Linked DNA regions of Anolis sagrei. The main gene of each other region encodes a partner of the protein of the gene in region 3 in a complex. Links are inferred from orthologs where the notes say so. Each region holds a gene or a part of one and is shown on either strand. Other genes may lie near its edges. The genes, in order: STK25, STK26, STRIP2 and STK24.

Evidence for each region.
Region 1: STRIP2 (region 3) and STK25 share a complex: the UniProt entries of both Homo sapiens proteins name them as parts of the core of STRIPAK complex. The link is inferred for Anolis sagrei from reciprocal best matches to the Homo sapiens genes STRIP2 and STK25.
Region 2: STRIP2 (region 3) and STK26 share a complex: the UniProt entries of both Homo sapiens proteins name them as parts of the core of STRIPAK complex. The link is inferred for Anolis sagrei from reciprocal best matches to the Homo sapiens genes STRIP2 and STK26.
Region 4: STRIP2 (region 3) and STK24 share a complex: the UniProt entries of both Homo sapiens proteins name them as parts of the core of STRIPAK complex. The link is inferred for Anolis sagrei from reciprocal best matches to the Homo sapiens genes STRIP2 and STK24.

The regions. Positions count from the first base shown.
Region 1 is NC_090023.1:226,720,288-226,727,334, reverse strand, and holds the start of STK25 (serine/threonine-protein kinase 25), read right to left. Parts: upstream 3,019-7,047; 5' UTR 2,881-3,018; intron 142-2,880; 5' UTR 61-141; coding exon 31-60; intron 1-30. UniProt on the Homo sapiens protein: Oxidant stress-activated serine/threonine kinase that may play a role in the response to environmental stress.
Region 2 is NC_090030.1:23,303,603-23,310,931, reverse strand, and holds the start of STK26 (serine/threonine-protein kinase 26), read right to left. Parts: upstream 3,005-7,329; 5' UTR 2,621-3,004; intron 1-2,620. UniProt on the Homo sapiens protein: Serine/threonine-protein kinase that acts as a mediator of cell growth. Modulates apoptosis. In association with STK24 negatively regulates Golgi reorientation in polarized cell migration upon RHO activation.
Region 3 is NC_090025.1:195,300,427-195,307,480, forward strand, and holds the start of STRIP2 (striatin-interacting protein 2), read right to left. Parts: upstream 3,009-7,054; 5' UTR 2,940-3,008; coding exon 2,880-2,939; intron 1-2,879. UniProt on the Homo sapiens protein: Plays a role in the regulation of cell morphology and cytoskeletal organization. Required in the control of cell shape. Calmodulin-binding scaffolding protein which is the center of the striatin-interacting phosphatase and kinase (STRIPAK) complexes.
Region 4 is NC_090023.1:115,845,585-115,853,313, reverse strand, and holds the start of STK24 (serine/threonine-protein kinase 24), read right to left. Parts: upstream 3,002-7,729; 5' UTR 2,756-3,001; coding exon 2,711-2,755; intron 1-2,710. UniProt on the Homo sapiens protein: Serine/threonine-protein kinase that acts on both serine and threonine residues and promotes apoptosis in response to stress stimuli and caspase activation.

The DNA.
Region 1 (7,047 bases), on a different chromosome or scaffold from region 3:
GGACCCCAGGTTTCCGTAATTCTCGCTTACCTGGTTGGCAAATTCCCTCAGGTGAGCCATGGCTGGAGATTGGCACAAGACCCATGCACCAGTCCTCTCAAACAGAAGAGGGTTTTCTGTCTCTTGTTGGGATCACTTACACTATGAACAAAACATAGGGGGGGAAATACAATTGAATCACGCTGAAAGGCTCTTATTTAAATTGCCACCTTAAAAGATAAAAGAGCTGCTTTGAAGAGAGAGAAAACAGGGTAGTAATAATAATAATAATAATAATAATAATAATAGACGACTAGTACTTCCAATGGGCTACTTCCATCTTGGGATTAATACAAACTTCTGCACCAAAAAATGTCTCACACCGAACAATGACAACACTTTAATTGCCACAGCAACATCGTATGGAATAACACAGTTTATTATTGTTGTTGTTGTTGTTGTTATTATTATTATTATTATTAATAATAATAATAATAATAATAACAATTATATCCCACCCTTCTCACCCCGAAGGGGACTTGAGAGCGGCTTACAAGATACCTGTACATACAATATATTACATTACTAGAACATCACAATATTAGTATTATATATTATTATATTTACTATACCACTCTACTGTAATATTATTAGTAATATCACATGTATTATGAAGTATAAAATTATTATATTGTATTACTATTAGTATTATGTTGTATTATATTATAGTATTATCAATATTCTATGTGTATACAATATATTACATTACTAGCACAGCACAATATTAGTATTATATATTACTATATTGTACTATACCACTATACTATAATATTATTAGTAATATTACATGTAATATAAAATATGTAATTATTATATTGTATTATTATTAGTATTATATTGTATTACATTATAATATTATCATTGTTATATGTTTATACAATATATTATAATATTAGCACAGCACAATGTTAGTATTATATATTACTATATTGTACTATACCACTGTACTGTAACATTATTACTAATATTACATGTAATATGAAATATAAAATAATTATATTGTATTAGTATTATATTACATGATAACATTATTATCAATATTATATGTGTACACAATATATTATAATATTAGCACAGCACAATATTAGTATTCTATATTACTATATTGTACTATACCACTATACTGTAATATGATTAGTAATATTACATGTAATATAAAATATATAACTATATAACTATTATATATAACTATATAACTATTACATTGTATTATTATTAGTATTATAGTGTATGATATGATAATATTATTATCAATATTCGATGTGTATACAATCTATATAAATAAAAATCTAATGTTCATTTGTGGGATTAGCATAACTCAAAAACCACTGGACAACACCAAATTTGAACACAAGACACCTATCAGGCCAACGAGTGACCATCACTCATAAAAACACTGAAAAACACAGTGGAAGGGACTCAAAAAGCCAAAAAAATTTACATTACAACGCATGCGCAAAACCACATATATACACATATACACACACACATATAAACGCAAACAAAACATATACAGAGACTGGGCCACAGCAATGTGTGGCAGGGGACGGCTAGTATATTATAATACTAGCCATCTCCTGCCATGCGTTGCTGTGGCCCAGTCTGTGTGTATATGTATTTTGTGTGTGTATATATGGTTATAGCACAAATTTATTTATTTATATACAACATATATATGCCAACCTTCTCACCCCGAAGGGGACTCAGAGCAGCTTACAAGATATAGATATATATACACATATAATACATTATAATATTACCACAGCACAAAATTAGTATTATACTAGCCGTCCCCTGCCACGCGTTGCTGTGGCCCAGTCTGTGTATATGTGTTTTGTGTGTATATATGTATAAATGTGGTTTTGCGCATTCATTGTAATGTATTTTTATTTTTTGGCTTTTTAAGTCTCTTCCGCTGTGTTTTTCAGTGTTGGTCACTCGTTGCCCTGATAGGTATACTGTGTCCAAATTTGGTGTCAATTCGGCCAGTGGTTTTTGAGTTACGTTAATCCCACAAACTGACATTACATTTTTATTTATATAGATATTACTATATTTTTGCTGGAGGGAGGGGCTCTGGAGATAATCTTGAGCTACGAATTCCAGGATGGAACCAATGGCTGCGCCTACACAGTACAATTAATGCAGTTTGGGACCACTTTTAACTGCCATGGCTCAATGCAATAGAATAATGGAAATTGTTGTTTTGGTGGGGCACCAGCACTTTTTGGCAGAGAAAGACCTTTGAGCAACTACAACTCCCACGACTCCATACCACTGAGCCATGGAAATTCAACTGAGTCAAACTGTATACACTGTAGATCAGGCCTGGGCCAACTTGGGCCCTCCAGGTGATTTGGACTACAACTCCCACAATTCCTAACAGCCGCTAGGCTGTTAGGAATTGTGGGAGTTGTAGTCCAAATTACCTGGAGGGCCCAAGTTGGCCAGGCCTGCTGTAGATGCAGCCTGAATTAGTACAAGAGTTTTAGCCTTATAGATACATTGATACAATATATATATATGATTACAGATATAATAATAATACCTTTTAAAATAATAATAATAATAATAATAATAATAATAATAATTTCTGATGAATGGGATAGAATCTATTGGTCGTCCCCCGTCCCTCAATCAGATGGTATAGTCCACAGAGGTTCGAATCCCCCCCCATGGCAGTGACGCAATGGGCCTGCCCCCACCTCAGTGAGAGAGAGAGAGCTCCACCCAGCCCCTTGGAGACACCTTGCCATGGCAACGGGCTGCTGCTGCTGTCCCGCCACCCTCCCTCCGCGCCGAGCCAGCCGCGTTCCATTGCCGTTCTCCTTCTCCTCTCACCTGAGCCCCGCTGTTCCGTCCCGTCCATCCTCCCTCCGCTCTCGACCAGCCCAGGATACTGAGAGAACTCGGGAACAGCAAACGGCAAGGGCGGCAGGCAGGCAAGGAGGGAGGGGGGAAAGGAGCGGGAGCGCAAACAGGCATGCGCAGGAACCTATCCCAGAACGAGGCTTTCTGGGAAAGGTAGTTCTTCTCTTCCGAGCTTCCGTTAGGATATAGTGGAGCAGGGACTGCAATAACCGGCGTGCATTGCGACAATCCGCGGCCAGCCTCTCCAGAGGCGCGGAGGTGTCTGGGAAAGAGAGTTTGTGAGGAGACACAAACAGAGGCACATCCTCTATCTATCCTCTCTCAAAGAATGCCTCCTCCAGGCTAGAATGTATCTACATTAGGCCTGGACCGACTTAGGCCCTCCAGGTGTTTTGGACTTCAGCAAGCTGGAATGTGTCCAGAGGAGGGCGACTAAAATGATCAAGGGTCTGGAGAACAAGCCCTATGAGGAGCGGCTTAAAGAGCCGAAGAAGAGAAGACTGAGAGGAGACATGATGAGGGCCATGTATAAATATGTGAGAGGAAGTCATAGGGAGGAGGGAGCAGTTCAAGGGTCTGGAGAACAAGCCCTATGAGGAGCGGCTTAAAGAGCTGACCATGTTTACCCTGAAGAAGAGAAGGCTGAGAGGAGACATGATAGCCATGTATAAATATGTGAGAGGAAGTCACAGGGAGGAGGGAGCAAGCTTGTTTTCTGCTGCCCTGGAGACTAGGACGCGGAACAATGGCTTCACACTACAATAAAGGAAATAACATCTGAACATCCTGACTGTGAGACCTGTTCAGCAGTGGAACTCTCTGCCCCAGAGTGTGGTGGAGGCTTCTTCTTTGGAAGCTTTTAAACAGAGGCTGGATGTATTGTCGAAGGCTTTTATGGCCGGAATCACTGGGTTGTTGTATGTTTTTTCGGGCTATATGGCCATGGTCTAGAGGCATTTTCTCCTGACGTTTCGCCTGCATCTATGGTAAGCATCCTCAGAGGTTGTGAGGACCTCACTACCTCTGAGGATGCTTCTCATAGATGCAGGCGAAACGTCAGGAGAAAATGCCTCTAGACCATGGCCATATAGCCCGAAAAAACCTACAACAACCCAGAGGCTGGATGTATTGTCAAAGGCTTTCATGGCTGGAATCACTGGGTTGTTGTGGGGTTTTTCGGGCTATATGACAATGTTCTAGAGGCATATTATTTGAGAATACAGCATTTCTGGGGGAATCCTTTGTTGGGATATGTTAGCTGGCCCTGATTGTTTTCTGTCTGGAATTCATCTTTCTCTTTATTTACTGTCCTGATTTTAGAGTTTTTTAAATACTGGTAGCCAGATTTTGTTCATTTTCATGGTTTCCTCCTTTCTCTTGAAATTGTCCACAGGATTGTGGATTTCAATGGCTTCCCTGTGTAGCCTGACATGGTGGTTGTCAGAGTGGTCCAGCATTTCTGTGTTTTCAAATACTATGCTGTGTCCAGGTTGGTTCATCAGGTGCTCTGCTATGGCTGACTTCTCTGGTTGAATTAGTCTGCAGTGCCTTTCATGTTCCTTGATTCGTGTTTGGGACACAGCATATTATTTGAGAACACAAAAATGCTGGACCACTCTCACAACCGCCATGTCAGACTACACAGAGAAGCCACTGAAATCTATAAGCATGTGGACAATTTCAACAGAAAGGGGAAAACCATGAAAATGAACAAAATCTGGCTACCAGTATTTAAAAAAACTCTACAATTACAACAGCAAAACAACAGAGAGAAAACAATCAGGGACAGCTAATCACCTCTCAACAAAAGATTCCCCCAGGCACTAACAAGCTACACCAAACAACAGCCAGGCCATCAAATGCTAATCAAGGTGGTCAGTTGAAACATTCACACCTAGCTCCAGCAGACAAGAGTTCTTTGTCCCATCCTGGTCATTCCAGAGATATATAAACGCAATTTTCCTAGTTCCAACAGACCTCACAACCTCTGAGGATGCTTGCCATAGATGCAGGTGAAACGTCAGGAGAGAATGCCTCTAGAACATGGCCATATAGCCCAAAAAAACCTACAACAACCCAGATGCTGGATGGCCATCTGTCGGGAGTGCTTTGAATGCAGTTTTCCTGCTTCTTGTCAGGGGGTTGGACTGGATGGCCCATGAGGTCTCTTCCAACTCTATGATTCTAGACAAGAGTGCCTGTGTTATTGAACAAACCGTCAGCAAAGGCTTGGCTGCATACATCTGGCTGGATTACCCAACCAGGCAGGCAGGTGCGGTGCCTATCTCCAACCTTTGTTTACGCTTCATTTGGTTTAGATAAAACCCAAAAGAATAGGTAAAGTTGCTTTGGCCAGAATGGCTGGTTCTTAGTTTACAGAAAGGGTGGGGTCCGATTGCTCAAGTGGTTGAAAGGAAATTGTACGAAAATTCCCAAGAATGTCAACACTATGATAGTTCAGTACTAACTGATATAAATGCCTTTATGTTTATTTGACCTTTGGCACACTTCTGTTGAGGAGCCCCCGGTGGCACTGTGGGTTAAAGCGCTGAGCTTGTTGACCGGGGAGCGGCGCGAGCTTCTGCTGTCAGCCACAGCTTCTGCCAACCTAGCAGTTCAAAAACATGCAAATGTGAGTAGATCAATAGGTACCACTCCGGTGGGAAGGTAACAGCGCTCTATGCAGTCATGCCGGCCACATGACCTTGGAGGTGTCTACAGACAATGCCAGATCTTCGGCTTAGAAATGGAGATAAGCACCACACCCCAGAGTTGGACACGACTGGACTTAATGCCGGGGAAAACCTTTACCTACCCTTCTGTTGAGGGCCTTCTCTGTGGTGGCCCCTCAGCTCTGGAACTCACTCCCCAGAGATATTAGGCAAGCCCCCACACTGGCAATCTTCAGGAGGAATTTGAAAACCTGGTTATTCCAATGTGCCTTTCAGTAATTTAATGTAAGATTCTCCCTGACCACATTTTGCGCAAAATGTCCTTAAAAGCACTTTATTTTATGGTTTGTGCAATGAAATCCTTCCTCATTCCCAGAGCCTCCTCCCTATAATTTACAATGTCCTATCTCCCAGTGTTTTAAAATTTTTAAAAAAAATATCCGTGAATCTGGCCCTGCCTATCAGTAGAAAACCTTTAGTTTTACATACCCTTCTGCTAATTGCTATAGCAGCCTACGTTCTGTATTAAAGTTTTGTGTGAGAGTAAGTATTGTGTATGTATGTGTGTGCCTTGGACTGCAAGAAGATCCAACCAGTCTATACTTCAAGAAATAAGGTCCGACTGCTCATTGGAGGGAAGAATATTAGAGGCAAAGGTGAAGTACTCTGGCCACATAATGAGAAGATAGGAAAGCTTAGAGAAGACAATTATGCTGGGGAAAATGGAAGGAAAAAGGAAGAGAGACTGACCAAGAGCAAGATGGATGCATGATATCCTTGAAGTGACTGACTTGACCTTGAAGGAGATGGGGGTGGTGACAGCCGACAGGGAGCTCTGGTGTGGGCTGGTCCATGAGGTCACGAAGAGTCGGAAGCGACTGAATGAATAAACAACAAAAATCATGGTTTTCTATGAGTGAAGAGATAGCAACTGGTATTATTTACAATATTTATACTCCGCCCTTCTCACCCCAAAGAGGACTCAGAGTGGCTTTATAGAACATACATACGGCAAACATTCAATACCGATTATACGATAACAAGAACAGACAACACAACAGAGGTAAAGGCAGTTTTTCCCATCTTATTTCCGGCATCTTTGAGGCTGTGCTTGACCAGCTGTGTGTGTGTGGGGGGGAGGGGGGGTGTACTGTTGCTCCATCTTCCATGCCAAGGATGTCTTTAAGAGCACTTCTCTCCGCTAAAAGCAGTACCTATTTTATCTACTCGCATTTCTGCTTTCAACCTGCTAGGTGGGCTGGGGCTAACCAAAGGTACTTAACCCTGACCTGGGCTCGAACTGTTGACCTTCTGATCGGCAGTATTTTTCTGCAACACAGTGGTTTAGCCTGTTGTGCTAAGCTCTGGTAGATGGCATATGTTCTGTATCTCAAAAATTAGAGCCGGTAGGGGGAAACTGGTGCAATTTTTAGAACCAGCAGGTCAAATATACCCAGAAGCAGGT
Region 2 (7,329 bases), on a different chromosome or scaffold from region 3:
GGGGAAGGAGAGGAACACAACCCCTCATCCACACACAAGAAGCCCCATCAGCAACTCTTCTATGGGGAAGAACACAACCCCTCACCCACAGTTCTTCTGAACCCCTGGCCTATGGGGAAGGAGAGCAACACAATCCCAAATCCACACACAGGAAGCTTCCCCAGTCACTAGTCTATGGAGAAGAGCACAACCCCTCATCCCCAGTCCCCCTGAATCCTCAGCATATAGGGAAGGAGAGGAACACAACCCCAAATCCACACACAAGAAGCCCCCTTAGCAACTCTTCTATGGGGAGGAACACAATCCCTCATCCACAATCCCCATGAATCCCTAGCCTATGGGGAAGGAGAGGAACACAACCCCTCATTCACACACAAGAAGCGCCCTCAGCAACTCTTCTATGGGGAAGAACACAACCCCTCATCCACAGTTCGACTGAAGTCCTGGCCTATGGGGAAGGAGAGCAACACAATCCCAAATCCACACACAGGAAGCCTCCTCAGACACTAATCTATGGGGAAGAGCACAACCCCTCATCCCCAGTCTCCCTGAACCCTCGGCCTATAGAGAAGGAGAGGAACACAACCCCAAATCCACACACAAGAAATTCCCTTAGTAACTTTTCTATGGGGAGGAACACAATCCCTCATCCACACATACACCCCTTAGCAACTCTTCTATGGGGAAAAACCCCAACCTACAGTCACTAGTCAATGGGGAGGAACAGAACCCCTCATCTACAGCCCCCTAAATCCCTGGCCTATGGGTAAAGGTGAGGAACACAACCCCAAATCCACACACAAGGAGCCCCTTTAGCAACTCCTCTATGGGGAAGAACAGAACCCCTCATCCACAGCCCCCTGAACCCCTGGCCTATGGGAAAAGGGGAGGAACACAACCCCAAATCCACACACAAGACCCCTTAGTAACTCTTCTATGGGGAAGAACACAACCCCTCACCCACAGTCCCCTTGAACCCCTAGCCTATGGGCAAGCAAACCCCAAATCCACACACAAGAAGCCCACTTGGCAACTCTTCTATGGGGAAGAACACAACCCCTCATCCACAGCCTCCTGAATCCCTGGCCTGTGGGAAAAAGTGAGGAACACAACCCCAAATCCACACACAAGAAGCCTCCTTAGCAACTCTTCTATGGGGAGGAGGACAACCCCAAATCCACACACAAGAAGCCCCCTTAATAACTCTTCTATGGGGAAGAGCACAACCCCAAATCCACACACAAGAAGCCCCCTTAGTAACTCTTTTATGGTGAGGAGCACAACACCAAATCCACACACAAGAAGCCCCCTTAATAACTCTTCTATGGGGAAGAGCACAACCCCAAATCCACACACAAGAAGCCCCATTAGTAACTCTCCAATGGGTTAGGAGTAAAACCCCAAATCCACACACCAGAAGCCCACTTGGCAACTCTTCTATGGGGAAGAACACAACCCCAAATCCACACACCAGAAGCCCACTTGGCAACTCTTCTATGGGGAGGAGCACAACCCCAAATACACACACAAGAAGCCCCCTTAGTAACTCTCCAATGAGTTAGGAGTACAACCTAACCCTAACCCTAACCCTAACCCAATGAGTTAGGAGTACAACCTAACCCTAACCCTAACCCTAACCCTAACCCCAAATCCACACACCAGAAGCCCACTTGGCAACTCTTCTATGGGGAGGAGCACAACCCCAAATCCACACACAAGAAGCCCACTTGGCAGCTCTTCTATGGGGAAGAACACAACCCCAAATCCACACACAAGAAGCCCACTTGTCAACTCTTCTATGGGGAGGAACACAACCCCAAATCCACACACAAGAAGCCCCCTTGGCAACTCTTCTATAGGAGGAGCACAACCCCAAATCCACACACAAGAAGCCCACTTGGCAACTCTTCTATGGGGAGGAACACAACCCCAAATCCACACACAAGACGCCCACTTGGCAACTCTTCTATGGGGAGGAACACAACCCCAAATCCACATACAAGTAACTCTTCTATGGAGAAGAGCACAACCCCAAATCCACACACAAGAAGCCCACTTGGCAGCTCTTCTATGGGGAAGAACACAACCCCAAATCCACACACAACAAGCCCACTTGGCAGCTCTTCTATGGGGAAGAACACAACCGCAAATCCACACACAAGAAGCCCACTTGGCAGCTCTTCTATGGGGAGGAACACAACCCCAAATCCACACACCAGAAGCCCACTTGGCAGCTCTTCTATGGGGAAGAACACAACCCCAAATCCACACACAAGAAACCCACTTGGCAACTCTTGTATGGGGAGGAGCACAACCCCAAATCCACACACAAGTAACTCTTCTATGGGGAAGAGCACAACCCCAAATCCACACACAAGAAGCCCACTTGGCAGCTCTTCTATGGGGAAGAACACAACCCCAAATCCACACACAAGAAACCCACTTGGCAACTCTTGTATGGGGAGGAGCACAACCCCAAATTCACACACAAGTAACTCTTCTATGGGGAAGAGCACAACCCCAAATCCACACACAAGAAGCCCACTTGGCAACTCTTCTATGGGGAGGAGCACAACCCCAAATCCACACACAACCCCCAATCCCCGAGGCCAGGCCTCACCTGGGCCTGCCTCTCTTTGCCTCTTCTTCTTCTTCTTCGTCTCCTTCCGGCGCCGAAGCCCATGACCCGCTCCCCCGGGCGGCGCGGAAGGAAGGGCCTCCTCCGTCTCAGGAGGACGCCATCATGGAGGGAGAGAAGGAGGGAAGGAGGGGAGGGAGGCCTAGGCCTCCGCCTCAGCCCCGGCCTCGAGTAGCGCGCTCCCCCTCTCTCTGCGCCTCCCTCCTTCGGCCAAAGGCGGCGGCAGAAGTGAAGTGAAGCAGCAGCAGTGAAGGCCCGGCCTGGTTCTTTCCTCCTGGCGGCCTTCTCTCCTTCCCTTTCCCCCCTTCGCCGCCTCGCCTCACTCTTCTTGGCCTCGCCTCTTTCTCCTCAGCCTCCGCCCCTGAAGAGGGCAGGCCCAGGAGGAGAAGGAGGAGGAAAGAGAGGAGGAAGGAGGAAAGCATAAGTGGAAGAAAGAAGGGGGAAGAAGAGGAGAAAGGAGAGCAAGAAGGAAAGAAGGAAGAAGAGAGAAGAGGAGGAAGGAGGGAGAAAAGCATAAGGAGAAGAAGGAAGGGGAAGAAGGGTAGGAAGAAGAAGAAGGAAGGAAGGAAGCCATAAGAGGAGGAAGGAGAGAGGAGGGAGGAAACCATTATAAGAAGAAGAAAAGGGAAGAAGGAGACCAGGAAGGAAGGAAGAAGGTAGGAAGCCATAAGAGAAGGAAGGAGAGAGAAGAGGAAGGAGGAAGGAAGCCATACAAAGAAGAAGGAAGGGGGGAGAGCAAGGAAGGAAGGAAAGAGAAGAGGAAGGAAACTATAAGAAGAAGAAGGAAGGGGCAAGAAGGGTAGGAAGAAGAAGAAGGAAGGAAGCCATAAGAGAAGGAAAGAGAGAGAAGAGGAAGAAGGAAGGAAACCATAAGAAGAAGAAGGAAGGGGAAGAAGAGGAGGAAAGAGAGCAAGGAAGGAAGGAAGGAGAGAGAAGAGGAGGAAGGAGGGAAGAAAGGAAGGGGGGAAAAGGTAGGAAGGAGAAGAAGAAGGAAAGAAGCCATAACAGAAGGAAGGAGAGAGAAGAGGAAGGAGGAAGGAAACCTTAAGAAGATGAAGGAAGGGGGAAGAAGAGGAGGAAGGAGAAGAAGGAAGCCATAAGAGGATGAAGGAGAGCAAGGAAGAAAGGAGAGAGAAGAGGAGGGAGGAAGGAAACCATAAGAAGAAGGAGGAAGGGAAAGAAGGGTAGGAAGAAGAGGAAGGAGAGCAAGGAAGGAAGGAGAGAGAAGTGGAGGAAGGAGGGAGGAAAGCATAAGAAGAAGAAGGAAGGGGGAAGAAGGGTAGGAAGAAGAAGGAAGGAAGCCATAACAGAAGGAAGGAGAGAGAAGAGGAGGGAGGAAGAAATCCATAAGAAGATGAAGGAAGGGAGAGAAGGGTAGGAAGAAGAAAGAAGGAAGGAAGCCATAACAGAAGGAAGGAGAGAGAAGAGGAAGGAGGAAGGAAACCATAAGAAAAAGAAGGAAGGGGAAGAAGGATAGGAAGAAGAAGGGAGCCATAAGAGGAGGAAGGAGAGCAAGGAAGGAAGGAGAGAGAAGAGGAAGGAAGGGGGAAGAAGGTTAGGAAGAAGAAGAAGGAAATAAGCCATAAGAGAAGGAAGGAGAGAGAAGAGGAAGGAGGAAGGAAACCATAAGAAGAAGAAGGAAGGGGGAAGAAGGGCAGGAAGAAGAAGAAGAAGAAGGAAGCCAGAAGAAAGGAGAGAAAAGAGGGAGGAGGAAGGAAACCATAAGAAGAAGAAGGAAGGGGGGAAAGGGTAGGAAGAAGAAGAAGAAGGAAGGAAGCCATAAGAGAAGGAAGGAGAGAAAAGAGGAAGGAGGAAGAAAACCATAAGAAGGAAGGGGGAAGAAGAGGAGGAAGGAGAAGAAGAAGGAAGGAAGCCATAAGAGAAGGAAGGAGAGAGAAGACCATAAGAAGAAGAAGGAAGGGGGAAGAAGGGTAGGAAGAAGAAAAAGAAGGAAGCCAGAAGGAAGGAGAGAGAAGAGGAAGGAAACCATAAGAAGGAAGGGGGAGAAGGGTAGGAAGAAGAAGGAAAGAAGCCATAAGGGGAGGAAGGAAAGCAAGGAAGGGAGAGAGAAGAGGAGGGAGGGAGGAAACCATAAGAAGAAGAAGAAGAAGAAAGGGGAGGAAGGAGAGCAGGGAAGGAAGGAGAGAGAGCGAAGAGGAGGAAGGGTAGAGGAAACCACAAGAAGAAGAAGGAATGGGAAGGAGGGTAGGAAGAAGAGGAGGGAAGAAGGAAGCCATAAGAGGAGGAAGGAAGGAAGGAAGGAAGGAAGGAAGGAGAGAAAAGAGGAAGGAAAGTATAAGAAGGAAGGCTGAGAAGGGTAGGAAGAAGAGGAAGGAGAGCAAGGAGGGAAGGAGAGAGAAGAGTAGGAAGAAGAAAGGAAAGCATGAAGAGAAGAAGAAGGAAGGAGAGGAAGGAAGAAGAGAGAGAGAGAAGAGGAAGAAAACCACAAGAAGAAGAAGGAAGGGGAAGAAGGGTATGAAGAAGAGGAGGGAGGGAGCAAGGAAACCAAAAGAGGAAGAAGGAGAGCAAGGAAGAAAGGAGAGAGAAGAGGAGGAAAGAGGAAGGAAAGCATAAGAAGAAGGAAGGAGAGCAAGGTAGGAAGGAGAGAGAGCGAAGAGGCGGAAGGAGGGAGGAAACCACAAGAAGAAGAAGAAGGGGGAAGAAGGCAGGAAGGAAGCAAGGAGAGAGAAGAGGAGGAAGGAGAAAGGAGAACACAAGAAGGAGGAGGAAGGAAGGAGAGAGGAAGGAAGCCATAAGAGGAGGAAGGAAGGAAGGTGGAAAAGAGGAGTTAGGAAGGAAGGAAGCTATAAGAGGAAGAAAATGGAAGGAAGGAGAGAGAGAACAGGAGGAGGAAGCCAGAAGAAGAAGAAGAAGAAGAAGAAGAAAGAAAGAAGGAGCGGAGGGAGGAAAAGGAAGGAAGCCATAAGTAGAGGAAAAGGGAAAGAAGTAGAGAGAGAACAGGAGGAGGAAGCCATAAGAAGGAAGGAGGAGAAGAAAGCAAAGAGTGGTCAAGAGAGTTGGTGGGGGGAAGTAGTGGAATTAAATGGAGCTGAGGAGGATAATGGGGCAAATTTGGGGGTTCAGAAGGAACCATGAGAAATGTATAGGGTCCCTTTGACGACACAAGTGAGGTGTGTCGGTGGCAACTGAAGGAGGAACTAGGATTCAAGTGGGGTTTTTTTTGAGGACGAACACAGGAGACCTAAGAATGGGAGTCAATAGAAGTGAGGGCAATTTGGGGGTGCATTCCGGAGGGGGATACGTGTTTAAATGAAGAGCTGGGGATGAATAAAGATATTTATATATACAGGGTGGGCCAAAGGGGGTTTCAGTATTTTGTTTTGTTTTTACTTTGCAATGTTATGGAATCTCAAGAGTTGTAGTTTGTCGGGGTCTTTATCCCTCTCTGCGCTGCATTGAGCCTGGCAGTCCAAGTGCTGTCAAACTGCATTAAATCTACAGTGTGGATGCGCCCTGTGACACATCTTTTGACTGCATCCACAGCAGTGAAAGACAGTACTGTAAGTGAAAACATATTGCGGTTCTCCGTCCAATTTGGTTATTTTCCACTCCACCGAAATGGATGGCATTTAGGCTATTTTTAGCCTGTGGGTCCAAGGAGGCCAGCAGGAAATTCAGGATTTGAAAGCGGACTGAACGGAATGGGAATACTGTAAAAGAGAATAAACATAGGGAGGGATTCCAAACATTGGCGAAACTCAACTCCTGAAATAGGGATTTGACTCAATGGACACTCTGAAGCCCAATGAATGCATACCTTTGAATGTTCCCCAAACGTTGCCAACTACAATTAAATTTGGGCTCCATTGCAAAAAATAAATAAAACCCACCCCAAAACATACTTGACAGTGACTTTTTTATTTAATGTAAAATCAACAAAAACTGGCTTTGCACAGGACCACAAAATGTTCTGCCTGGATGAGTGGGGTGAGGATCAATGGCCAAGAATAAGGAATATTGTTGTGCGGGAAGTTTGGATCGAAACAACAACAAATGCATTTAGCTTGGACGGAAATGATGTCTTTTAAAGCAAGGGTCCTCGAACTTTTTAAGCCAAGTTTGCAGTTCCTCATAGAATCATAGAGTTGGGAGAGATATCATGGGCCATCCAGTCCAACCCCCTGCCAAGAAGTAGGAAAATTGCATTCAAAGCACCCTGACAGATGGCCAACCAGCTTCTGTTTAAAACCTGACTGTGAGAGCCGTTCAGCAGTGGAACTCTCTGACCTGGAGTGTGGTGGAGGCTCCTTAGAATCATAGAGTGGGAAGAGACGTCATGGGCCATCCAGTCCAACCCCCTGCCAAGAAAATTGCTTTCAAAGCACCCCTGACAGATGGCCAACCAGCTTCTGTTTAAAACCTGACCGTGAGAGCCGTTCAGCAGTGGAACTCTCTGACCTGGAGTGTGGTGGAGGCTCCTTAGAATCATAGAGTGGGAAGAGACGTCATGGGCCATCCAGTCCAACCCCCTGCCAAGAAAATTGCTTTCAAAGCACCCCTGACAGATGGCCAACCAGCTTCTGTTTAAAACCTGACTGTGAGAGCCGTTCAGCAGTGGAACTCTCTGCCCTGGAGTGTGGTGGAGGCTCCTTAGAATCATAGAGTGGGAAGAGACGTCATGGGCCATCCAGTCCAACCCCCTGCCAAGAAAATTGCATTCAAAGCACCCC
Region 3 (7,054 bases):
AAGACACCTTCAGTAATTTGCAATGTGTGCACATTATAAAAGTATACACGTCATCCTTTGCAATATGTGCCTGTTATGGTTTGCCAACATATATATTGGCAAAAAAGATCTTGGAGTCCTCGTGGACAACAAGTTAAACATGAGCCAGGAATGTGATGTGGCGGCAAAAAAAGCCAATGGGATTTTGGCCTGCATCAATAGGAGCATAGTGTCTAGATCTAAGGAAGTCATGCTACCCATGCTCTATTCTGCTTTGGTTAGACCACACCTGGAATATTGTGTCCAATTCTGGGCCCCACAATTCCAGAGAGATGTTGACAAGCTGGAATGTGTCCAGAGGAGGGTGACTAAAAGGATCAAGGGTCTGGAGAACAAGCCCTATGAGGAGCGGCTTAAGGAGCTGGGCATGTTTAGCCTGAAGAAGAGAAGGCTGAGAGGAGACATGATAGCCATGTATAAATATGTGAGAGGAAGCCACAGGGAGGAGGAGAGAGCAAGCTTGTTTTCTGCTTCCCTGGAGACTAGGACGCAATGGAGCAATGGCTTCAAACTACAAGAGAGGAGATTCCATCTGAACATGAGGAAGAACTTCCTGACTGTGAGAGCTGTTCAGCAGTGGAACTCTCTGCCCCCGAGTGTGGTGGAGGCTCCTTCTTTGGAAGCTTTGAAACAGAGGCTGGATGGCCATCTGTCAGGGGTGCTTTGAATGCAATATTCCTGCTTCTTGGCAGAATGGGGTTGGACTGGATGGCCCAGGAGGTCTCGTCCAACTCTTTGATTCTATGATTCTATATATGACACACACATACCTTGCAAAGTCACCCTTTGTAATTGGCAATGTGTGTACATTATTATCCTTTGCAATATGTGCCTATTATAGTTTGCAAACATATATATAGAGTCACCCTCTGTAATTTGCAATGCTTGCACATGATACATGTGTGCACATTATCCTTTTTATTATGTGCCTGTTATAGTTGGCAAAACAGTACTTGTAGCTGCACCTCATGCAACTTGCAATACACTAAGTCCTAATCATAGTTTTCAAATATATAGAGGAAAAATATGCCCCCAAATTTTGTCTTGGGTGCCTTTGGAAGCCCTGTTTTAGACCTTGCAACTCCCAGACAATATAGTTTGCAGCATGTGCAAGTTTGCAAGTCACTGGCATATGTGTGTGTATATACACATGCACACACACATATCTTGCCAAGTCACCCATGCAATTTGCATTATGTGCATATCCTTCCCAATATGTGTATATTAGTTTGCAAACATATGTATGTTCACAGGTGTCTATAGGTTCGCAAATAGATATAAAAACTGAGCTTGCCAAGGAATCTCTTGTAATTCACAATACAATCCTTTGCAATATGTGCATATTGTAGCTTACAAAATCACATTATCCTTTGCAATAGGTGGCGATGATAAGTTTGCAAAGACAGAGATATAAAAATAGAGCTCGCAAAGGCACCCCCATGCAATTGGCAATACAGTCCTTTGCAACAGCTGCGACTTATGCTTTCCAAACATATATATGTATACACACTGAGACACATACCTAGGGTACATAGCTTGAAGTCACCCAATGCAATTGGCAATGTGTGCCCACAGTTCGTTGTAATAGACGCCTATTATAGTTTGCAAGAACACACACACACGCAATAAGTGCCTATGGTAAGTTTGCAAACAGATATAAACAATAGAGCTTGCAAAGGCAGCCCATGCAATTTGCAATACAGCCCTTTGCAATAAGTGTCTATTATAGTTTGCAAACATATATATGTATACAAGTCACACATATACATAGTCTACAAAATTAGCAATGTGTGTACACCATCCTTTGCAATAGGTGCATATTACAGTTTGCAATCATATATATATAGTTTGCAAATACATACATTATCCTTTGCAATAGCTACCTATGGTAAGTTTGCAAATTGATACAAAAAACAGAGCTTGCAAAGGCAGCCCATGCAATCTGCATATATCTATATTTGCATATATATATGCAATAGGTGCTTATAGTAAGTTTGCAAACATATAAAAATAGAACTTGCAAAGGCAACCCATGCAATTTGCAATACAGACCTTTGCAATTAGTGCCTATTATAGTTTGCAAACATATATATGTATACACAAACACATATACACAGCCTGCAACAGGCACCCCATGCAATTGGCAATGTGTGCACACCATCCTTTGCAATAGGTGCATATTAGTTTGCAATCATATACATCTATATAGTTTGCAAATACACACATTATCCTTTGCAATAAGTGCTTAAAATAGTTTGCAAACATAGATATGTATACACAAACACATATATAGCCTGCAAAAGGCACCCCATGCAATTGGCAATGTGTGTACACCATCCTTTGCAATAGGTGCATATTACAGTTTGCAATCACACACACACACATATATATAGATATAGTTTGCAAATACACACATTATCCTTTGCAATAAGTGCTTATAATAGTTTGCAAACATAGATATGTATACACAAACACATATATAGCCTGCAAAAGGCACCCCATGCAATTGGCAATGTGTGTACACCATCCTTTGCAATAGGTGCATATTACAGATTGCAATCACACACACACATATATATATAGTTTGCAAATACACACATTATCCTTTGCAATAGCTGCCTATGCTAAGTTTGCAAATAGATATAAAAAACAGAGCTTGCAAAGGCAGCCTATGCAACCTGCAATACAGTCCTTGGCAATAGGTGCCCACCATAAGTTTGCAAATGCAAAAATACAGCAAACAGGGCTTTCAAAAGGGGTCCCCGGGCAGTTTTGCAAGGGGTGCATGTCCCCCTTTTGCAATGGGTGCCTGGGAGAGTGTGCCAAGAGAGGCTTCTGACCTGGGAGCGGCTCCTCTGGGGTCGTGGGGCGCCTTTTCCCGGCTTGCCCGGCTCCTCCATGGCTCACCAGCCTGCTTTCCTTCCTTCCTTCCAGCCGGGAAGCCCTGCAGCAAGGCGGCCACGTGTGGGGCTGGGGACAGCCCTTCCCCGCACCGGCCACGCCCACCTGCTCTGCCATTGGCTGCCCGGCGCCTCTGGGCGGGGCCTGGGCGCACACCCCCGCCGGCCATTGGCTGCGGCGCGGAGGAGGGAGACCCCTGTTGGGAGAGCTGTCACCAGGGCGGCAGGCGAAGAAGGGAGGCGGGGCTTCTGCTTGCATTGCTTGCAGAGATTTAGAGTATTATGGGCAGGGAAAGCTTGGGAGTTGTAGTTCCCCTCAAAGGCGCCTCCCCGAACTACAAGTCCCAGCACTCCATAGCAATGGTTGCATTGCATCCACACCCCATAAGCCGCCATGGGAGTTGTAGTTTGGTAAAGCACCAATATTATATTGCAGAGAAGTCCAAAGACCTTGTAAAACTATAACTCCCGCAAGTCCCTGCACTCCCTAGCACTGGTTGTGTTGCATCCACATCCCATAAGCCGCCATGGCCCTATGCTATAGGGCCCTGGGAGTTGTAGTTTGGTGAAGCACCAACATTATATTGCAGAGAAGTCCATAGACCTTGTAGAACTGCAACTCCCACAAGTCCTTGCATCCCATAGCACTGGTTGCATTGCATCCACGACTCATAAGCCGCCATGGCTCAATGCTATGGGGTCCTGGGAGTTGTAGTTTGGTGAAGCACCAACATTATATTGCAGAGAAGTCCGTAGACCTTGTAGAACTGCAACTCCCGCAAGTCCTTGCATCCCATAGCACTGGTTGCATTGCATCCACGACTCATAAGCCACCATGGCCCTATGCTATAGGGCCCTGGGAGTTGTAGTTTGGTAATGCACCAACATTATATTGCAGATAAGTCCATAGACCTTGTAAAACTACAACTCCCGCAATTCCTTGCATTCCCTAGCACTGGTTGCGCTGCATCCACACCCCATAAGCCACCATGGCTCAATGCTATAGGGTCCTGGGAGTTGTAGTTTGGTGAAGCACTGACATTATATTGCAGAGAAGACCACAGACCTTGTAAAACTACAACTCCTGGAAGTCCCTGCATTCCATAGCACTGGTTGCATTGCATCCACGACCCATGAACCACCATGGCCCAATGCTATAGGGTCCTGAGAGTTGTAGTTTGGCGAGATATGCATGGTGCATCTATTCTACACTGTAGAATGGATGCAAATGAAAATGCCTATTGAATCCTGGGAGTTGTAGTTTGACAAGACCCCAACATTATTTGGCAGATAAGGTTTAAGACCATGTAAAACTACAACTCCCATGAGATAATACCATTAAGCTGCATTCGGTTATTCATGCTTCAGTGCTAATGAAGTCCTGGAAGTTGTAGTTTGATGAGACACCAACATTGCATGGCAGAAAAGTCCACAGACTTTGTAAAACTACAACTCCTGTGAGTTAATATCATTGCTTCATGTCAAGCTGTGTTCGTTCTACATGCCTCAGTGCTAATGGAATCCTGGGAGTTGTAGTTTGACAAGACACCAACACTGCAGGGCAGAGAAATCCTCAAACCTTGCAAAACTGCAACTCCCACGAGTTAATATCATTGAGCCATGGCAGTTTAGCTGCATTCACTCTACACATCTCAGTGCTAATGGGAGTTGTAGTTTAACAAGGTCTTTTGCCTTGAGTCTGCCAGGCTAGGCCTGTATATGTGTGACTTGTATATGTTTGCAAACTATTATAAGCACTTATTGCAAAGGGCTGTATTGCAAATTGCATGGGTTGCCTTTGCAAGCCCTGTTTTCTGTATCTGTGTATTTGCAAACTTACACACACACACAATATACCACAGGCACCTATTGCGTGTGTGAGTCTGCCAAAGTGTTGATGCCTCTCCAAACTATAACTCCCAGGAGATGCAATTCTGATACCTGGACAAACTTATCTTGGAGATGAGACTCTATGCACACACACATACTATAACACATGTGTGTGTGTGTGTGTGTGTGTTGTTTCATAGACTCCTTAGTCACATAGCCTGAAGGTCATTGTGTGTGTGTGTGTGTAACATTTTGAAAACCATTGTGTTGCATGAAAGCCAGGTGTGTGTGCGCATGGGGCCACTGAAAGGTGTCACTCTCTCAGGTGCTATTTCAGGACTGTTCCGGATTGTGTTTTGCGGACAGGTGGGCCGTTGCTATGGTCACCTGCCAAAAAGGTGAGAAAAAGGTGGGAGAGGAAAGGCTGAGGTTGCCATTGGCAAGCCAGGTTTCCAAAAAGCGGGGGGGGGGGGGGGGAAGCACATTTATGTACCTTTGCAACACCGGAAAGAACCGAGAACGGTATGGACACGGCTGCAAGGTGAACACGGGGTGCATCCACACTGTAGAATTAACACAGTTTATGTTGGGCAAGGAGACCCTCCCCATAAACGTACTTATCAGCAGCAGCGTGACCCAGCATCAGTTGTTGTTGTTCATTCGTTCAGTCGTCTCCGACTCTTTGTGACCTCATGGACAAGCCCACGCCAGAGCTCCCTGTTGGCCGTCACCACCCCCAGCTCCCTCAAGGTCAGTCCAGTCACTTCAAGGATGCCTTCCATCCATCTTGCCCTTGGTCGGCCCCTCTTCCTTTTGCCTTCCACTTTCCCCAGCATCATTCCCTTCTCTAGGCTTTCCTGTTTTCTCATGATGTGGCCAAAGGACTTCAACTTTGTCTCTAGTATCTTTCCCTCCAGCGAGCAGTCAGGCTTTCTTTCCTGGAGGATGGACTGGTTGGATCTTCTCGCAGTCCAAGGCACTCTCAGGACTTTCCTCCAACACCACAGCTCAAAAGCATCTCTCTTCCTTCGCTCAGCCTTCCCGAAGGTCCAGCTCTCACATCCGTAGGTGACTACAGGGAAGACCATGGCTTGGACTAGGCAATGGATCTTGGTTGCCAGTCTGATGTCTCTACTCTTTACTATTTGATTGAGACTGGACATTGCTCTCCTCCCAAGAAGGAAGCGTCTTCTGATTTCCTGGCCACACTCATCTTTGCGCCTAGAAATACAAACCCTGTCACGGCCTCCACATTTTCTCCCTCTATTTCACAGTTGTCAATCATTCTTGTTGCCATAATCTTGGGTTTTTTGACGTTTAGCTGCAATCCGGCTTTTGCGCTTTCTTCTTTCACCTTGATTAGAAGGCTCCTCAGCTCCTCCTCGCTTTCGGCCATCAGAGTGGTGTCATCTGCATATCTGAGGTTGTTAATGTTTCTTCCAGCCATTTTCACCCCAGCTTTGCATTCCTCAAGCCCCGCACATCCTCGCATGATGTGTTCTGCATACACGTTAAAAAGGTTGGGTGAGAGGATGCAGCCTTGCCGCACGCCTTTCCCAATCTTGAACCCGTCTCCTGTTCCGTGGTCAGTTCTGACTGTTGCTCCTTGGTCCTTGTACAGATTCCTCAGGAGAGAGGGAAGGCGGTGATCCTTTGCTGGAGCAGCATCAGTAGCCCAGTGATAAAAAGAACAAAAACATAGACCAATACTATATCTTCCTTAAGAGCCTTTTCTTTTCTCCATAACACAAACAAACCTCTTTATACTTCCTTCTTTGCTTCCACGCTGGGCTTCTTTCTCAAGCAGATAAACAGCTTCACTCTCACAGAGCTTCTTCTCACAACGAACTTACTGCTGGAGCTCAGCCTGGGATTGTGTTCCAGGATCAAGGTGTTTTGGATGTGGGGAGGGATGTTAATGAGTTTCAAGTTGAGTTTCAAGATGGCAATAGTTTGGTCTGTTGCACCCCAGAGTAGGAACAGGACCCTCTAATCCAGTGATTCACAACCTGGGGGTTGGGACCCCTGGGGGGGGGGGGTCACCAGGGGGTGTCAGAGGGGTCACCAAAGACCATTAGAAAACACAGTGTTTTATGTTGGTCATGGGGGTCTTGTGTGTCAAGTTTGGCCCAATTCTATTGTTGGTGGGGTTCAGAATGTTCTTTGATTGTAGGTGAACTATACATCCCAGCAACGACAACTCCCAAATGTCAAGGTCTATTTTATCCAAACTCCACCAGTGATCACATTTGGGCATATTGAGCATTCATACCAAGTTTGGTCCA
Region 4 (7,729 bases), on a different chromosome or scaffold from region 3:
CAGAACCCTCAGTCGACTTATCAACTATCAATGTGAGTTGATAGTTTGACACCATTCTCTGAGTGGTGTCAAAAGGTGAGAGTTTAGTCTGTCCCAAGAGGAAATTTTAAAAACCGCACAGGCCCCTCTCTCTCCACATTTTTGAAATACCTGGGTGGGGAGATACATCTCAAGTGGCATTGGTGCTTTCCCCCTCTCATAGAATGAACTTCAACTTATTCATGGGTCATGTCAAAATCCATCATTTTGGTCCCAAAACCTGCCCTTAACTTATAAACTATTAGTATATTCAGCAACGAAATCGACTTACAGACTATGAGTATACAGGCAGTCCGCAAATTACAAATAACGTAGGTTCTGTAGGTGTGTTCTCTAGTTGAATTTGTATGTAAGTTGGAACAGCTACATTTTTAAGTGTAACTCCAGTGAGAGAGAGAAAGAGAAAGAGAGAACGAGGTTTGGATGACATAGGGAAGGGTTAACACCCCTCTGGTGCTTGTTTTACTGTCTGTGCCCCTGTACAGAAGATTTCACCTCACTTTCTGTCCCTGTGATTTGGAAAAAATTGGCTTGTTGAGGAAACAAGGATTAGTGATAAAATTTCAGTGGAGACATATTTTCCCCATGATAGGAGTGAATTTCCCTTCCGAAGGGTATATTTCTTTTACTTCCTGTTGTTTCATGCTCGTTTGCAACTATGAGTTGTTTGTAACTTGAAGCTGCCTGTATGCAGCAATATCTTTCTGATCCAGGGTATGGGAGGGAGAAATTAACTAAAGACTGGATCTTGAATTCTGTGTGTGTGTGTTTGAGAATGGAAGTGGGGAAGAGCTATGCACAACTATGGGTGAATAAGAAGGGGGAGGTTTTTATGAAGACAGCAGGCTGTTGTTCTGGGGGGCAAACCGAGTACCCACTGCTGTTATAAATACTGTGGGTCAAATGTATTTTCTCTACTTATATCACAGGATATATACACCAAAATTGGATTACACTGTCCCAAGGATTTCAAAAGCTTTCACTTGCTGTTAACCAGTGAACTTGGCCCCTAGCTAATGCTATGCACAGGGGCTGTCAGACAGGAAGTAATGAACTCTGCAGCAGGAAGTTCTTAAGCAAGGATGCATCTACACTGCACAATTAATGCAATCTGACACTATCTTAGCTGCCACGGCTCAATGCTTTGGAATTATGAATGCTGTGGTAATACAAGACCTTTAGCCATCTCTGCCAAAGAGTGTTGGTGTCCCACCAAACCACAATTCCCAGCATCTCAAAGCATTAAGACACAGCAGTTAAAATAGTGCCAAACTATATCAATTCCATGGTCTAGATTCACCCTAAGCCTTTCATTTAAGGAAATGCAATGAAAATTATCAGTCCTTCAGTTCACGCTTTTCTTAGAGCTAGTATGCAGTATTGGAACTCTCTGCCCCAAACTGTGGTGGAGGCTCTTTCTTTGGTGGATTTTAAACAGAGGCTGGATGGCCATTTATTGAGGTGCTTTGAATGTGATTTTCCTGCTTCTTGGCAAGGGGTTGGACTGGATGGCCTACGAGGTCTCTTCCAACACTATGATTCTAGCAGTTCAATATTCAGAACAAGACTTGTTCTGTTCTATGAAGATGCCTGGTTAACTCCACCAAAGATAAATATATTTCCATATACTCCCTGAAGCTTGCACCCTGAATATGCCTCCCCTTCATTCCCCCACAGGCATGCCTTAGGAAGAAAAGGAAGCACACTTCTCCACAGCCCAGCTCCCCTTTCTATTACCTCCCTTTGTGCATGTCCAATCTTTCCAGCCAAAACAAGACCAAGGGGCTGCTTTCTGCTGCTGCAGCCGCTGAAGGACAGGCAGAAGAAATGTTACCACTAGGTCACTATAACTGGTGTGTGCACCCACCTCTTCCTCTTTGCTAGGCCAGAACATGGAGGGAGGCTGTCCTATCTATCCTTTAAAGCAGGCATGGGCAAACTCCAGCCCTCCAGGTGTTTTGTGCTTCAACTCCCACAATTCCGAATTGTGGGTGTTGAAGTACAAAACACCTGGAGGGCTGAAGTTTGCCCATGCCTGCTTTAAAACAATCCCACCCAATGCACTCCCATCCACAACAAATATTGCCTCAAGGACACCATCTCAGTGTTGACTTGCCCGAAATGGACAGCAAGATAGATAATACAAGGAAGAAAAAGGTAAACAAGAAGCCTGTACATCTATCCAACAAGGGCAAAGGGAGGGAGGCACTTCAGATTATTATTGTTAGTATTATAATCCAGGACACGCTGAAGGTCAACTCTTCTGAACTGCAGGGGTTTTGTTTAGGGCTGGATAGTGCATGAAAAACCCAATTACTGTGCAAGCCCTTAGGAGAGAGAAGCAGGGTGGAAATGGGATATAATCGATGTTAGCAGGGGAGGGAGGGGGGAGAGGGGAGGGATGGCGACCCCTAACTCAAGGGAGAGGAAACCCACAGGCAAAGTATGCACACACACAGAGACACAAATGCCGCTTGGCTTCCTGGGGAAAGAGTGGTCACTCCGTGGTGCCTCTATTGCAAGCCCCGCCGCCTCCTCCTCGAGCCTTGAAGGCCCTTCCCAAGGAGAGAGCCTGCCTGGAGAGGAGCCTCCTCAGGAGAAGGGGCTGCGCAGGAGGCGAGCGCGCATGCGCGGCGGGGAAAACGGCGAAAGGCCCCTTCCTCAGGCTCACCTGCATCCCCGGCAGGCCCGGCTGCTGCACCGGCGAGTGGGCCATGATGACGGCGGAAGCCCCGCCGCCGCCGCCGCCTCCTCTTCCTCCGCCACCGCTGCTGCTCCCGCTGCCTCTCCAGCGCCGTGGCCTTCGCTTGAGGAGGAGGAGGAGGAGGAGGAGGAAGGGGAGGAGGAGGAATCACCTCAGCCCCATCGCCTCCCTCCCCCGCCCCCAGCAGCGCCCCACAGAGAGAGACAGAGCGCGAGGGAGAGAGGCGGGCATGCGCAGAGCAAGAAGGGGAGGGGTTTTCGCCACCCGGCCTTCTACGTCACGGTTGGGGCGGGGCCACGTAGACCCCGCCTCCCGAGTGCGTCACCAAGCGAGTCGGTTTCTCTCTTTCTCATTCCTCCCCTCCCACTACGGAATGCAGAGTCGTAGTCTCGCGAGATCTCTCACTTTTGTAGGCAAAGGGTATTGCTGCCACTCTTAACTAGAGAGAGGGAGGCGGGCATGCGCAGAGGAGGAGAGCAGCTTTTGCCACCCGGCATTACGTCACGGAAGGGGCGGGGCCGTGTAGACCCCGCCTCCCGAGTGCGTCACCAAGCCAGTCGCTTTCTCTCTCGCTCTTTCTCATCTCCACCCCACCACTATGGAATCCCGGGAGTCGTAGTCTCGCGAGGTCTCCCACTTTAGTACCCAGACGGTATTGCTGCCACTCTTAATTGCTCTGGGCGGGCATGCGCAGAGGAAGAGAAGGGGAGGAGCTTTTGCCACCCCGCCTCCTACGTCACGGGCGGGGCGGGGGCCGTGTAGACCCCGCCTCCTCAGTGCGTCACCACGACGGTCGCTTTCTCTCTCTCTCTCTTTCTCATCCCCCCTCCATGGATTCCCGGGAGTCGTAGTCTCGCGAGGTCTTCCACTTTTGTAGGCAAAGGGTATTGCTGCCACTCTAAACCGCCCTGACTCAAGGCTGTGGAAGCATTGGAGTTGTAGGAGAGCCCCCGGGGGAGCAATGGGTTAAACCTTTGTGCCGGCAGGACTGCTGAACGACAGGTCAGGGGTTCGAATCCGGGGAGAGAGGGTTGAGCTCCCTCTGTCAGCTCCAGCTCCTCATGTGAGGATATGAGAGAAGCCTCCCACAAGGATGGTAAAAAACATCAAAACATCTGGGCGTCCCCTGGGCAATGTCCTTTGCAGACGGCCAATTCTCTCTCACCAAAAGCGACTTGCAGTTTCTCAAGTCGCTCCTGACGCGAAAAACCCCTCAGCCTTCCCTGCCAATGAGTGCTACAGTATTACCGCTCCCATGATCCCACAGCATTGCAAGTGGTGCCAAGCTGCTTTTATTCTAGGTTGCTGTGAGTTTTACGGGCTGCGTGGCCATGTTCCAGAAGATGTTTCGCCTGCATCTATGGCAGGCATCCTCAGAGGTTGTGAGGTCCTCTGAGGATGCCTGCCATAGATGCAGGCGAAACGTCAGGAGAGAATGCTTCTGGAAGATGGCCATACAGCCCGGAAAACACAGCAACCCAGTGGTTCCAGCCATGAAAGCCTTCAACAATACATTGAATCATAGAGTTGGAAGAGACCTCGTGGGCCATCCAGTCCAACCCCCTGCCAAGAAGCAGGAAAATCGCATTCAAAGCACCCCCAACAGATGGCCATCCAGCCTCTGTTTAAAAGCCTTCGAAGAGGGAGACTCCACCACACTCCAGGGCAGAGAGTTCCGCTGCATAACAGCTCTCCCAGTCAGGAAGTAATGTTCAGGTGGACTCTCTTTTCTTGTAGTTTGAAGCCATTTTTCCGCATCCTAGTCTCCAGGGCAGCAGAAAACAAGCTTGCTCCCTCCTCCCTGTGACTTCCTCTCACATATTTATACATAGCTCTCATGTTTCCTCTCAGCCTTCTCTTCTTCAGGCTAAACATGCCCAGCTCCTTAAGCTGCTTCTCATAGGGCTTGTACTCCAGACCTTCCAGACATTGCTTTCTTTCTAAATGATGTTGCAAGCTCACATCGTCCCAACAATCTTGTACTTTTAGTATTTCTTCTGTGGGAAATTGCCCAGTGTGGAATACATCTCACGATGTTAAAACAGTGGATGTGGTTCCTAATGAGAAATGCTGCATTATCAGAGGGCCACAGTTTGGTGATGCCTGGTGTAGATTGAGGGAAGTCATGTTACCCCTCTATTCTGCTTTGGGCAGAAACACCTGGAATACTGTGTCCAATTCTGGACACCACAATTCAAGAGAGATATTGACAAGGAAGGTGTCCAGAGGATGGTGACTAAAATGATCAAAGGCCTGGAGACCATGTCCTATGAGGAGCATCTTAAAGATCTGGGTCTGTTTAGCCTGCAATAGAGAAAGTTAAGAGGAGACATGATAGCCAAGTATAAATATGGTTTTTTTTGGTCGTGTCAGGAGTGACTTGAGAAGCTGCAAGTCGCTTCTGTTGTGAGAGAATTGGCCGTCTGCAAGGACGTTCCCCAGGGGACGCCCGGATGATTTGATGTTTTATCATCCTTGTGGGAGGCTTCTCTCGTGTCCCTGCATGAGGAGCTGGAGCTGATAGAGGTAGCTCATCCGCCTCTCCCCGGATTCGAACCTGCGACCTGTCGGGTCTTCAGTCCTGCCGGCACAGGGGTTTAACCCACTGTGCCACCGGGGGCTCCTAGTATAAATATGTGAAAGGATACCATAAGGAAGAGGGAGCAGGCTTGTTTTCTGCTGCCCTGGAGAAGAACTTTCTGACCATGAAAGCTGTTCAGCAGTGGGTCTTTGCCTCAGAGTGTGGTAGAAGCTCCTTCGTAGGCTTTTAAGCCGAGGCTGGATGGCCATCCATTAGGGGTGCTTTGATTGGGCTTTCCCTGCATGTCAGAGCGCTGGACAGGGGAGTCTCTTTCAACTCTATGATTCTAATGGGGTTGTTGTATGCCTTCAAGTCATTATTGGCTTATGGAGACCCAAAGGTAAATCTATCACAAGATTTTTGAACTTAAAAGGTCCAAGTGTGGATTCACACCTGTTTTCCAATGCCATAGTCCAGTGTTCAAACCATTATGCCACACTGGCTTCCACTTTACAAATCTGCCATAGTAAATAAGGGACAGCGAGTTCCAGTTTAATTGTGTATTCCATGCCGCCGCAATGATTTTTAATGTTTGGCGCTTAAATACAAGAACAAGAAAAGAAACACATCAAAGTAAATCACACCAGTGTCTTACATAAACTAGGATGCAAATATCCCTTCAGTTATCTATTTGTTGCTGTGAATGGGTTAATGGTAAATAACAATGAAAGCAAAACAAATAATTTTAGAAAATATAATCTCAATAGGATTCTATGTATTTGCATAGATAACAAGAAAATCTTGGATTTGTTCATAACAATCCTTCCCTAGGCAATCACTGAATTCCTTTCGTGGGATGATCAATTATCTTAAGTTTCTGCGTTAACCTAGTTACTGTGTCACACCCAGAGCCAAACTCTTCAACAATTAAAATAATTGGTGTTGATCAAACTCATTGCAAAAACGTAACGACACCAAAGGCAGTCTAATTAGGCCAAGGAAGAATTTCATAGCCACATCTTTCTTCACTGCTTTTCTGCGGCCGGTTGCTAGGATCATCCATCTCCATATTCTAGAAAATATGTGCCACTGAGTAGCAATTATGCCATTAATGTTAGACTCGACGTTGTCATCTTAAATATAAACACCCCATTAAATACAGTGTTTAGTACACTGATGTGTATCACGTCACTGAGATGTATTATTTTACTTTTTTTTCAAAATGTATTAAATTATGCTCCTTTATTGTTTCATGATCATACATTAGAAGCCCCAGCCACAAAAGGGCATTCTTGTGATTGCACAATATCATGGTTAGTAGCTAAAGATTTTCCCCTGACATGAAGTCTAATCATGTCCAACTCTGGGGGTTGGTGCTCATCTCCATTTCTAAGCTGAACAGCTGGCGTTGTTCATAGACACCTCCAAGGTCATGTGGATGGCATGACTGCATGGAGCGCCATTACATTCCCGCCAGAGTGGTACCTATTGATCTACTCACATTTGTATGTTTTTGAACTGTTAGGTTGGTGGTTCAAATCCACTCCCCGGATTTGAAGTGCCAACCTTTCGGTCGGCAAGTTCAGCAGCTCAGTGGTTTATCCTGCTGTGCCACTGGGGGTTGTCACTTCAAACCAATGTTCAACTCATTTCTAGGCTGTCCTTCTCCATTAAAGGGGTGGGGAGAGAGAGACTCTCATATTTAGGCAGCAGAAAGCGTTTCAAAAAAAATGTCAATGTAGTGCAATAGACCAACCGCATCAGCAAGTTTGAGACATGTACATATTCTTGTGGTCATCATTTTTCTTCACTTCCCCACCCACAAGCTGCTGGCTATCCCTCTTCCAATAAACAGCCAGAGGGGACCTGCAAAGCTGTAACTTCCCACTTTCTCCCCATCTTCTTCATTTTCCAAATAATTCGAGTAACCGCAGTTTCACAGGTAATTCCAGGCACTAACAAGGTCTTCCCTTGTTGATCAAGTATTTCCTTAAGTTTTTTGCAAGGCTTTGAATTGGATTATATGAGCCTACATTGCCAGATAATCTGGGACCCTGGGATATAGAGCAGTGTAGATCCAGCCAAAAGCAGCACTTATAGCAGGCATGGGCAAACTTTGGCCCTCCAGGTGTTTTGGACTTCAACTTCCACAATTGAAGCCGGCAAGCTGTTAGTTATTGTGGGAGTTGAAGTCCAAAACACATGGAGGGCCAACGTTTGCCAGGGTTATAGGAACTGGAATCCAGTAACATCAGTGAGGCCACAAGTTGCCCACTCCTGTCTTAAAACCATACATTGCTGTCACCATTATCATTTCAGTCTAATTCTTCAAATGTCTTTCAATTTCTAGCAACATATTTGAGGCCAACTCTACCCCACTACTACCTAAAATAGAAAAAAGACTCCCTTGTAGCCAGGAACGAGGATCCTAAGACTGTAAGACTCTGACAGACTCCAGGTCTCAT